4 linked regions of the Saccharomyces cerevisiae S288C genome follow. Changing the gene in region 3 together with the main gene of any one other region gives a genetic interaction. Each region holds a gene or a part of one and is shown on either strand. Other genes may lie near its edges.

What was found.
Region 1: mutations in TMA17 (region 3) and RPT3 together harm fitness more than expected from each alone (negative genetic interaction), as found in Saccharomyces cerevisiae (2 studies listed by BioGRID).
Region 2: mutations in TMA17 (region 3) and YJL218W together harm fitness more than expected from each alone (negative genetic interaction), as found in Saccharomyces cerevisiae (2 studies listed by BioGRID).
Region 4: mutations in TMA17 (region 3) and BIL2 together harm fitness more than expected from each alone (negative genetic interaction), as found in Saccharomyces cerevisiae (2 studies listed by BioGRID).

The regions. Positions count from the first base shown.
Region 1 is NC_001136.10:1,260,028-1,263,546, reverse strand, and holds RPT3 (proteasome regulatory particle base subunit RPT3), read right to left. Parts: upstream 1,867-3,519; coding exon 580-1,866; downstream 1-579. Other genes in the region: SXM1 (Sxm1p), read right to left, coding at 1-223; SHE9 (She9p), read right to left, coding at 2,276-3,519. UniProt on the Saccharomyces cerevisiae protein: The 26S proteasome is involved in the ATP-dependent degradation of ubiquitinated proteins. The regulatory (or ATPase) complex confers ATP dependency and substrate specificity to the 26S complex.
Region 2 is NC_001142.9:20,275-23,103, reverse strand, and holds YJL218W (acetyltransferase), read right to left. Parts: upstream 1,132-2,829; coding exon 541-1,131; downstream 1-540. Other genes in the region: hexose transporter HXT9, read right to left, coding at 1,904-2,829.
Region 3 is NC_001136.10:263,988-266,973, forward strand, and holds TMA17 (Tma17p), read right to left. Parts: upstream 978-2,986; coding exon 525-977; downstream 1-524. Other genes in the region: exosome non-catalytic core subunit RRP42, read right to left, coding at 1-123; YDL109C (putative lipase), read right to left, coding at 1,271-2,986. UniProt on the Saccharomyces cerevisiae protein: ATPase-dedicated chaperone that assists the formation of the RPT6-RPT3 ATPase pair, an early step in proteasome assembly.
Region 4 is NC_001139.9:464,521-467,475, forward strand, and holds BIL2 (Bil2p), read right to left. Parts: upstream 916-2,955; coding exon 523-915; downstream 1-522. Other genes in the region: KAP122 (Kap122p), read left to right, coding at 1-391; PUF4 (Puf4p), read left to right, coding at 1,621-2,955.

The sequences.
Region 1 (3,519 bases), 1.0 Mb from region 3:
TCTTAGTATCCCATGATCTGTGAATCTTATTCTTCAAATAAATAGCAGAAGAAAGACGAACATTTAGCGCAAAATTATCATCAGACACTATATTAAGCAGAAAAGAAGTAAACCCAGGTTGCTTCTGGAACTCAAATAACTGCTGTTCTGCCTCTTTGATAATTTTTGCATCAGCAACCATAGTCTGCTCAATGCAGCTCAAAATTGCCTGTTCTTGTACCATTTCCTTTTTTGATTTATCTCCTTTGTTGTAGACGGGCGCAATGTTAAATGTTTATGACACAAATCGAATAGCAAATCTACACTGGGATGAAGCAGAGACTGCGTACTTGATATTTTGGTTGTACTTTATTGATTGAGATACTTGTTGATAGGTACTCATCTTACCATCTCATTTGGAAAAAAAAATATCACAGAAAAAAAAAAGTGAAAAACTTGGCTAGCGACGTCCGGTTGCGCGCGGAATAACGCTAAGAAACGTGATAAAAAAGTGGCGTCTGTATTTATTTCATTTAGTGTTGTCTAGATAGAAATGTACGTAATACTTTATGTAGACCTACGTTGAAGCATATATGGTAATCATTTGTAGAAGTCGAATTTATCGACGGTATTATCTGTCTTGACTTGAGTGGCGTAAGCTTCTTCCAGATCGCTTTGTAAGATGACATATCTGTTTTTCCTCACTGCTCTTAAACCAGCTTCCTGCATGATCGCTGCAATAACAGCACCTGATAGAGAGTCGTTACGAATAATAAGCGAGTCTAAGTCCGCTTCTGGGGCAAGGGACATCTTACTGGCAATGGTACCGAAAATCAAACGACGTTCACGCCTATCACGAAGTGAGGGAAACTCAATCTTTCTATCTAATCTGCCTGGTCTCAGCAAAGCTGGGTCCAATGTGTCTGCCCTGTTTGTAGCCATGATGACTTTAACGTTGGTGGATTGATCGAAACCATCCATTTGTGTCAACAACTCAATCAGGATACGCTGTACTTCACGATCGGAACCCGTTTGAGCATCAAAACGCTTTGTGGCAATGGAATCTACCTCATCTATGAATATAATGGATGGAGCATTTTCCCTGGCGAGTCTAAAGACGTCACGAACCATTCTTGGACCTTCACCAAGATATTTGTGAACAAATTCGGAGCCATTAACTCTTATGAATGCAGCTTTTGTACTATTGGCGACGGCTTTAACAAGCATCGTCTTACCGGTACCTGGTGGACCATATAATAGAACACCCCTAGGAGGGTCAATACCGATTTGCTCGTATAGATCAGCCTGAACTAATGGCAGCTCTACGGCTTCCCTGATTTCTTGCTTTTGCATATCTAACCCACCAACATCTGCATAAGTGACGTCAGGTTTTTCGTTTTCGCCCATTACGGATATGCTAGAGTCGGAATCAGGTGGTAGGATGTCAACTAAAGCATTTGAATGACGATGTAAAGCTACAGACATAGATGGCTTTAATAGTTCACGGTCTAGGGTTGATAATATTCTAACGACATAACTCATACCTGTGGTACTAGAAACAATACCTGTGTTCTGATCAATAGGTTCTAAGAATTGCCCGATAACTAATGGAACCGACTGGATTCTCTTTACTTCTTCTTGAGCTCTCTTCAATTCACGTTTCAAATGGCGTTGTTCGTCCTTAATATAGTCTTCTTGCAAAGTCAGCAGTTCATACTCTTTTTCTAATTTCTTCAATTTGAAATATATATCAGAATTCACATTAGACAGGGCACTGTTATTGTTGACTGTACCATTGAGTTGAGCCAACAATGATGCGTATGATTTGACGGCTGGTTTTTCTTCGACTGCCTTTTCGACAGGTGTCACAATACCTAGTTCCTCCATTCTTGTTGTGGTTTTTACTTTATAAATACTTGAATTTTATCCGATTGCCTCTTGTATAACTTATGAGTGAAAGGAAATAGGCAGAATTGGTTTGTCCACACACTGAGAATCTGAGCCCTATTACTTCCTATATTCATGGCTATACCCAATTACTGCAGATTTACTATTTTGCCACCTTACTTTCAGGAAAAATATGAAAGGGCACATCGCGCGCTACGAAGAGCCAAACATTAGAGAAATTTTGATTATAATGGATTACACCAGCTAAACATTAGCTAGGTAAGGTTAAGGATATTGAAACCAAAACGTGCTATTTACTGTGTATTTATGATTTTATTATGTACAAGGATAAAGGATGAAAAAAATGCATGCGTGTTTTTTTAACGATATTCTTGCGCAGTATATCATGTCATATCAGCCCGGATACCAAGATTGTCATACTCACTAAAGAAATTGAGTATAAGTAGAACTCTAAGGTGTCAAAGACTAGGGGAGCGTCAAGTTTCCTATATTGTATGCTTTTTAGTGTGACAAAAAGTGCCTTTATTCGTTCCCAAATATCTCTGAAGGATTTCATTTCTGTTGTAGTGGTCTCAGCCGTTGCAACTTCAGGCCTGTCGATTTCCGCCGTATTAATTTTACATTCACCTCTCTGTTCTATGTGCTCTTCAACGATCGAGTTTTCTGTGTTGCCTTGGTCTGTTACTTCCGATGATTTTCCAGGTAACAATTTATCCATCTTCATATTCTGCTCCTTGGCATATTCGTTGAGAGCGCTTTTGACTTTGTCTTCAAACGATCCTACTAACCTTTTCCGTTTCCAAGGTTCTAATAGTAATTGTAGGACAATAAACAAGAATATATTCATACCCATTAAGATGAATGTACCCCAGGTGGATGTTCTTCGGATTTTGTCTGACCATATTTGTTCCTCATGGTACCTGGTCAAAATTGCTCTATACAAGTCGTCATTTAGTTGTTCTTCTTTGCTTTCAATTTCTTTAACCTTGTTTTTTAGTTCTTGCTCCTGTCTAGCATTCAAGGCGTCATTTTTGTATAGCTGCGTAAATCTCTCTAAATCGCTCGAAGACCACGCGCTTTGCCTTTGCAATAATTCGTTAACTTCTCTTTGGGATTGAGCACGTTCATCAATGGCGTTAGCGTACTGTGCCTTAAACAGTTTGTGTTCTTTCTTTGTAGCTTCTAATTTTTTTTCCATTAGACTGATGCTAGATTTGAGCTTTTGAATTCCAGAATAACCGGTCACATCATTTAAAGCACGTGTGGCAGTAAATAACGTCTCCTGTAATGAGTCAAAATAAAACTCTAACTTTCTAGACCATTTTTTTCTATGTTGTTCCCTTTCGGAGGGCAATCCTTCAATTTTCGCACTGGTCAATTCATCTTTATTATAGTTTAAACGGGAATCGTTGATTTCATTCTCTTGCTCAGACAACTTCCTGTTTGCCTCTTGAATTGATTTTTTGGCCTTGTTAACTTGAAAGGATAATTGATCTCGGTGGAAGTTAAACCTAGAATACAATTCATTTAATTTCTTTTTCAAGTGCTGCCATTGAAGTTCTATATTTTCTTTCCAAACAGCGTTATTAGGTGTCCGTATTTCATTTTTATTAGTGCTGCCTTTATCAGGAG
Region 2 (2,829 bases), on a different chromosome or scaffold from region 3:
AGAAGCCGTCACTTGGACTTTTGTTAATATTAGGTCAGGTTAAATACCTAGGAAATCTGTGCGTATAGGATCATCCCTTTCTAACTCCATCGAAAATGTTACTTGTTTTGTTCGAGGCTATTTGATGACCCTTTCATATGGACGCATGCAGGTGGCCATATTTTCAGTTTAAAGTTTCTCCGCATGTTAATTTGCGCTGAAAAATTAGAACGGTACTTATTTCCCCGAAAATTTCTCAAATCCGAACATAAAGCTACCAGCCACGCGTTTTCTATACGGTTGGAACTTGAGCAGTTTTACATAAGTTGTAAACTATAATTTTCTCCTCGAAGATAGATTATACCAGAAAGAAGCTACTATACACAGTCGAGTTGAGAATGAGCAACTTAAACCAGAACATATACCAATAATTAATAATCTCTCTGCGTATTTAGTCGACTAAAACTGAACTAGCTTTTTATTTATTCTTATAAGAAAATACGGTACATAATCATAGAAGACAACACTTGCTTTCGATAATTCCTCCAGAAAGTGGATCCATCATTTTCGATAGTTTGTAGTTGTACTATCTTTTTCAGTGATCTTTCTTATCACCTTACAAGGATTACCTGCTGCCACTACATTTTCTGGTATGTCACGAATCACAACACTACCGGCGGCAATCACGGAGTTTTTACCTATATTTACTCCAGGAATTATTGACACTCCACCTCCAATCCATACATTGTCTCCAATGGTCACAGGCATGGCATATTCTAATCCTTGAAGCCGTCTTTCCACGTCAATTGGATGACCTGCCGTATAAATACCAACATTAGGGGCGATAAATACGTTGTCACCGATGACTACCTTGGCCCCATCCAATATAACAAGATTGTGATTGGCGTAAAAGTTGTCTCCGATATAGATGTTACTTCCGTAATCACAGTAAAACGGCGGTTCAATTATAAAGTTATCAGTGCAACTACCAAGTAATTCTCTTATTACCTGGCTCTTTTTATTCTCATCAGCGGGGCTAAGGGTGTTGTATTCGTGCAATTTTATTTTAGTCTCTTTTCTAATTTTCAAAAGATCTGGATCATAGTTCGCATCATAAAGCTCACCAGGTACTATATTTTCTAATACGCCCATTTTTCTCTAGAAGCCTTGTTTATATGCTTATTAGAATGCTTCTCTATGTTCTTGTTGTAGTACGTGAGATCTCACTCTTTATACTTGCGTCTTTTCGAAGTAATGCTAAATAGTGCCTGGCCCAGCGTCACAGGGTGTTTAACGAGCGCGTACTATTTGTGAATTTTTTTGGGCACATTGAAAACTTTAATTTTTTAAGTTATTCAGGCACGGCACACTATGACAGGAGGTTACGTCGGAGAAATAGCGTTATGGCCGATTGTGAGAACATTTAAGAAATTTCAATCCATAACAATAAAGTGGCAGTGTCACCTAAAATATTAGTACCAACTTGCCCAATTGGCAGAAGGAAAATAAGGATATCAGGCCACCGACTTGGTACTATTTTTTTATGGTAAATGTGTACTTTTACTAAGCTTAATTTGAAACAGACGTCATATGAATGTTTCTGGGGCTACTTGTTACAATTCTCGGTCCGCAACAACTGAACTCTGTACTGTTCTGTCTCAATGCTTGGTTTCTTGAATGGAATTTCACTCCACCCTTCGGAACGTTACAAAATTTATACATTTTAAAAATTATTCATGAGAGAAAGATGCTATAGTAATCTGTTCACCCTGTCAACTCGTGTAGCTCATGTTTATCATATAATTTCTAGTTCTATAAGGCATAACAAATAGTCCGTTAAGGATTAAGGCGTAAAAAAGTAAATATTGTATATAATAAATAATTAAGTTCATGTATTTTTTTCCAGTTACTAAAAACCGGAAGATTAGCTGGAAAAGAACCTCTTGTAGATTGGTCTATCGTCATGGTCTATGGCGTCAGCATCGTAATCTGCGGTTCTTCTTTCTGGTGGCACCCATGAGGCTGATTTCCATGCTGGCACACCTTCCAGCCACATAGTATTCACCTCCTCCAGCGTCAGGCCTTTTGTTTCTGGGACAAAGAAAAAGACATAAAAGTATGCAAAAACCAGACAGCCTAAGAATACATAACCGTAGTAAAAGTTGATTGCCCCGGTAATGAATGGGGTAAAGAAACTAATCAGGAAACCCCACATCCAGTTTGCAGCTGTTGCGATTGCCATTCCTCTTGATTTGACCCTAAGAGGAAACGTCTCTGAGACAATAACGTAACAGCCGCCTGCCCAAGTGGTGGCGAACGAAAAAATGAAGAACATAGTAAACACAATCATACAGTTACCGGCGCCCTGAGAAGTAATGTCTTGGTGACTGCTTCCTTGAGGCCACAACTTTGTCACACCGACGGAGGCAAACACAGCAAAGCAGCATAGCATAGAAGCAGCACCCCACAATAGACACGTACGGCGTCCAAACCTCTCAATGGTGTATACCGCTATGAATGAAGAGAAAAAATTAACCACACCGATAATGATCGAAGTCTGAAAGGAGTCCTTTAGACCGACAGATTTGAAGATGGTGGTGCCGTAGTAAAAGAAGTAGTTATCACCGGTTAATTGCTGCAGCGATTGGATCATCACTCCCATGAGAACACGCTGAAAGACCTTTGTTTTAGTGGAGAGTAGTTCAGACCATGATGCGTTACCTGCCAGCTTTTCAAGTTCGATTCCCGCCTTTATAGTGTCATATTCTGCTAACAAGGCTGGATCGTCGACTGAGACTTTGTTGGATTTCGAAAGTGAACGTTTCGCTTCCTCATCTTTACCAACCTCAA
Region 3 (2,986 bases):
TAGGAAGTCAGTAAATATTTCTATAGGTCTGAATTGATGAGGTAGTCTTCCATCGGGCCTAATTGAAGGCGTGCTTGCTAGTGAATCGTATAGGTACGACTTTTCGGCGACCGAAAGAGACATAAATGATTATTTCAACAGAATCTCAAACTGTCGTTGTGCTAGTCAAAAAGAATGCCTTTTGCCGTCTACAGACTATTAGTATCATTGTACTCCTTCACCATATAAGCTCTACGTTTCTTTTTTCTGAATATTAGAAAAAAATTTCGCCAACTAGGGTTCAAAATAATAGACTAGGGCACGGAAGAAAAGCACACCCTAGGGCTTTCGGAGATAAATTATTAATAGCGAGTTTTTTTTGTATTTACTTATTTTATTATTTCTTTAAGATATCTAGTAGTAAGGATAGAACGGGTAGATAGAATAGACAAATGGAGTTATTGAAATATTTATACGAAGAGATAGAACAGAGAGACAAAGAGTATGACGTGAAAATGATGCGCAGTAAAACTAAATCCCGTCTCTTAAATGAATATGCTGTTTGGTGTCACGACGTCCACATTTGAATTGTCCATGTCAACGTCAGGGCCCTTGTTGGTGTTGTCCTTTGCCTCTACCTCGTGCTTACTCTTGCCATGGCCCGTCTTTCTATATACCGTTTCTTGCTCCAATGCGTCCACTCTCTCATTGTAATTGTTTAGCACAATTTCGTTCTCCCTGACAGAGTCCTTGTACAGCGCCAGGTCTCCCGAATCAATGTTCTCCAAGTCGTCGCTGTCGTCAGCTTCAAGACGGTCGTCAGCACCCTCCAACTTAGCTATGTATTTACCCAAGCGGGCGTTAGACCTCTGCAAATGATTGATACTGTTCTCAATTTCTGTTTTAATCTGTGCCAACTCCATGTCGGACATGCCGCTTATCGCCGTCTTAAATTCTTCGATCTGGATTGGTCTTCTGATACCGCCTGCTGAGCACATTATGTTACTTGTAGTAGTTATTATGTTTTGATTTGCTTTATGTTTTATAAAGATCTTACCCCTCTTTTTGTCAAGAGAAATAAGCTTCTGAAGTATTGTTTTCCTGGTGAAAAGTGTCTTATTTATATGGAGAAGGGATATTCGGCCTCGGTTTTAGGGGAGGAGCTGAAGAGTTGTCCCGCTCGAAAAAGACCCGTAAGCGCATTTATCGAACTACGAAGTAAAATGGACTTTCGTAGGTGTGGACAATAGTAAATTGCAAGTCAATCCCGGGATGACGTCAAGATAGACAGTCAATCTGTCACAGAGGAATGCTTGCTAATCCAGGAGCTGGCGAGCTGGCTAGCTGTGGAGACTATTCCACCATGGTACACACTAGGATCCTCGATCTTGGTGAGCCATGAGTAGAACTTGTTTGGTTCCACCCCTCCGGTTGCCATGTTTATATCTTCCTCAGCAAACTGTTTATCTTGCATTGGTGAGGCGATTGGGTCATCTCTTTGGAAATGGGCGGTAACAAGGTGGTCAACCACCGGCCAGCCGTAAGCGTTGGAAAACCTTCTTCTTACGATGATGTTATTGTGGGCATCTGGTTTCAGCAATACCACGACTTTCCTCCAATGCATCCCCTTGTGCCAGCGGCGTGCTATGATTTCCTCCATCTCTTTTCTCGTCTTCCTCGTTTCGCCTTCCTTGGCTGCTGTTCCTTCATAAAGTGTTGGTGATGGAGGCGGTAAATTCTTTTCTGTGTAGATCTTATCATGTATGATTGTTGCGACCCTTGCATCGGGATCTGAGAAGAACTTTGCGTCGGGGCATGGTGATAGAAGCACAGACTTCATAGATTTGATGACGGAAGCATTCATCAAGCGTTTAGATTTCTTGTCGCAGTTATTTTCCTTGCTCTTCCAAAACGTGTTCCATGACGATGCATTGATTCCATCATCATCATTAGCAACATCGCTATGATTTGGAAGTTCCCCAATAGGACTTACTTCAGGCTGGAAGAGAGGATCACAAGGTGCCGTAGTTTGACCTCCCAGTTTCTGAAGTAATTGAGAGTAGTCCAAAAAAAGTAAAGAAGAGGAGTACAAGGGAACTATTCCGTCGTTGACGGCATTAGCATAAAGTGTTCTTCTTTTGAATCGAGCAAGCACACTGATTAAGGATTCCTCGGATAGCAGGTAAAGTAGGGGCTTATCACCATAATTTCCATCCTTAAGACCCAGTTCTTGCCCCGTAGTACCAATGATACCCATCGACAATGACATTTTTACGTAATTGGGCGTGCTGGTAGCAATGCCTAGCAATGGTGACGCCAGTGAGATAAAATTGATTGGCTCCACTTTCTTAAAGAAATATGGATATTTGGTCTTTATGTAACAAATAGCAAAAGTTTGTGTTAATCCACCCAGGGAATGACCAATAAATGAAATTTTCCCAACAGAGTCATCATATAACTCGTCGATGATGTAGTTTGCCAATCCAACACCCAAAAACTTAATACCCTTCTCAGTCTCACAAGCATTCTTCATATATCCCTTAATAACTAGTCGCTCATTTGGATTGTTCATTTGAGCCTTGTATATTTCTTCCATTAAGTATTCCATATCTGCCGAAACGTTTGATTGAAAACCATGCGTGAGAATGACTAAATGGGATTTTTGCGACATGTCTATGGGTCGTGGTACTTTCCATATATCTGCGGTGGTAAGTCTATGCACCGATAATCCTGTGTGTAAAATATTGCAGGCTTTATCAGGCAATGAATCATTACATCGTATTTTTCTTTTCAAAGAGGCCTTTGAATTGCCGACTACTATCTCAAAAGTTACCTTAGTTTCTTTATTAAATAGTATTTGACTGACAATATCCACTATCCATACATAGCGTGGCTTAATGTGGTGCAAGGACAACTCTGCAATAAACTTTTGTTGTGCCTGTAGGTTTGATTGAAATACTGGTTTATCCGCCGAACATATGATCTTATACGAGCTTTCGTAATCTTT
Region 4 (2,955 bases), on a different chromosome or scaffold from region 3:
TTCAAGAGAAAAGTTCACAATTGTTGCGGTGGCAAAATTTTGGACTAAGTTGATCAATAATAAGAAATACAACCAAGAAGAACTCACAACTGTTAGGCAACAAGTTTCCTCTATAGGAGGAGACCTTGTGTACCAAATTATGTATGGCTTATTCCACACACAAAGGTCCGATCTGAATAGTTACACAGATCTGCTAAGAGCTTTGGTAGCCAAGTTTCCAATTGAAGCAAGAGAGTGGCTCGTTGCTGTTTTGCCCCAAATATGTAACAATCCTGCAGGTCATGAAAAATTTATTAATAAATTACTTATTACGAGAGGAAGCAGAGCAGCTGGAAATGTTATTTTGCAGTGGTGGTTGGATTGTACCACACTTCCAAATTACCAAGGATGATTTGTTAAGAATTTCTCCGCTGAGGGTGAAGGCTATTCTTTGTTACATTTTATTTAGTAATGCGTTGATCCTTTTTGATAGATTTTTTTTTTGTGCTTTAAAGATAGTAGCAGTATATATGTGTGTAAAAGCTAATCATCAGAAGTGCAGCATTCATTGCTAGTATTTAGTGATAAAAATTTTAGAATTTCCATTTCTAATTGTAATTGCTTTTCATTCCAATACATGTTTGAGCTTCTGGGGGGTAAAAATACATTTCCAGACAGGGCGTCAGGTTGAAAGCAGTTACTGAAACATAGAGAGTCGACGTCAGGAGGAGGCTTCAAATGGTTTTCTGAAAGTGATTCGGTCTTATTTTTCCATTTTCTAAAATGGTGAATCCTTTCTCTGGAAATGTGTGATCCCTTTGCCTTTTGTGAAAACTTTTTTAACGAGCTTTTTAGGTTATTAGTTGTCTCAAGAAGGTTTATGGGCCCGCTGGTCTCGATATCTGCGTAATTTAATGGACGTATCGTGTCTTCCATGGAGTGAATTGTGATTTGTGAATTATATCTGTCCAATACCGTTGCCTTGTTGGGAGCTCAGATAGAAAAGACATCTTAATTCCAGACAGTCTATTCTCTGTCTATTTCTCTTTGTGACTGCAAATTTTAATTTGTGACGCCTTTTCTTATTACTCATGTATTTGTCACTCTTGACGATTGTTTTTTTTCTATATTTTTTTTGTTCTGGGGTCCTCCAGAGAATAAAAAATAATGATCAATATAGTAGATAGTATAGTTATATTCTTATTCGTTGCACCTTGTTTAACAAATCACTCAGACTCAAAGAGAATATCGGTTGGTTATCTCTCTCCGAAGGTGAACAGCAAACAGTACCTCACGTCTTTTTTTTGAATAGTTTTTTTTTTTGTTGAAACAGAAAAAAAACTTTCTTCCGTATATTACATTGTACATTATTTTTATTGTATTTTAGTTTCCAACGTTAGGATTTGAGCCGTCATTAATATTATTCGTTTTTGTACACTATTCCAGACGATTTATTTTTAGTACACTTAAAATTCCTGTTGATATTGTCCACTAGTTCTCTTTTCATATTTTATTTTCGCTTATTCTTTAGGTTCTTTTAAGAGTCTCTGTTCATTTTCCGTTCTTACTGTTTCTTTGTCCTCGATATCTTTTAAGAAAGAGAGAACTAAGCGCTGTAACATTTTTAAGTGGACCTACGTTATGTCTACAAAAGGTTTGAAAGAAGAAATCGATGATGTACCATCAGTAGACCCTGTCGTTTCAGAAACAGTCAATTCTGCTTTAGAGCAGTTGCAACTAGATGATCCAGAGGAAAACGCCACCTCTAATGCATTTGCGAATAAAGTTTCTCAAGATTCTCAATTCGCTAATGGCCCTCCGTCGCAAATGTTTCCACATCCACAAATGATGGGTGGAATGGGCTTCATGCCCTACTCTCAAATGATGCAGGTTCCTCATAATCCTTGTCCATTTTTTCCGCCCCCTGATTTTAATGATCCAACAGCACCATTGAGTAGCTCGCCCTTGAATGCAGGCGGTCCACCAATGTTATTCAAGAATGACTCACTTCCATTTCAAATGCTGTCTTCGGGTGCTGCGGTAGCAACTCAAGGTGGACAAAATCTAAACCCATTGATAAATGACAATTCAATGAAGGTATTGCCAATCGCATCGGCTGATCCGTTATGGACTCATTCAAACGTACCAGGATCAGCATCTGTAGCCATTGAAGAAACCACCGCTACTCTACAAGAAAGCCTACCATCTAAGGGCAGGGAGTCTAATAATAAGGCTAGTTCGTTCAGAAGACAAACTTTTCATGCTTTATCACCAACTGACCTTATCAATGCGGCCAACAATGTAACCTTGTCAAAGGACTTCCAATCTGACATGCAGAATTTTTCTAAGGCTAAGAAACCGTCTGTAGGAGCTAACAATACTGCAAAAACCAGAACTCAATCCATATCTTTTGATAATACTCCCTCCTCAACGTCATTTATACCCCCAACCAATAGTGTTTCTGAGAAATTATCCGATTTCAAAATAGAAACCTCGAAGGAGGATTTGATTAATAAAACTGCACCAGCTAAAAAAGAGAGTCCTACAACTTATGGTGCAGCATATCCATATGGGGGACCTTTACTTCAACCAAATCCTATTATGCCAGGCCACCCACATAATATATCCTCCCCTATCTATGGTATTAGATCACCTTTTCCTAATTCTTATGAAATGGGCGCGCAATTTCAACCTTTCTCTCCGATTTTAAATCCTACGAGTCATTCACTAAATGCAAATTCTCCAATTCCTCTAACCCAATCGCCAATTCATCTTGCACCAGTTTTAAACCCTAGTTCAAATTCTGTTGCCTTTTCAGATATGAAGAATGATGGTGGTAAGCCCACCACCGATAACGACAAGGCGGGTCCAAATGTTAGGATGGATTTAATAAATCCTAATCTTGGGCCATCAATGCAACCTTTCCACATATTACCTCCCCAGCAAAACACCCCCCCTCCTCCCTGGCTTTATAGC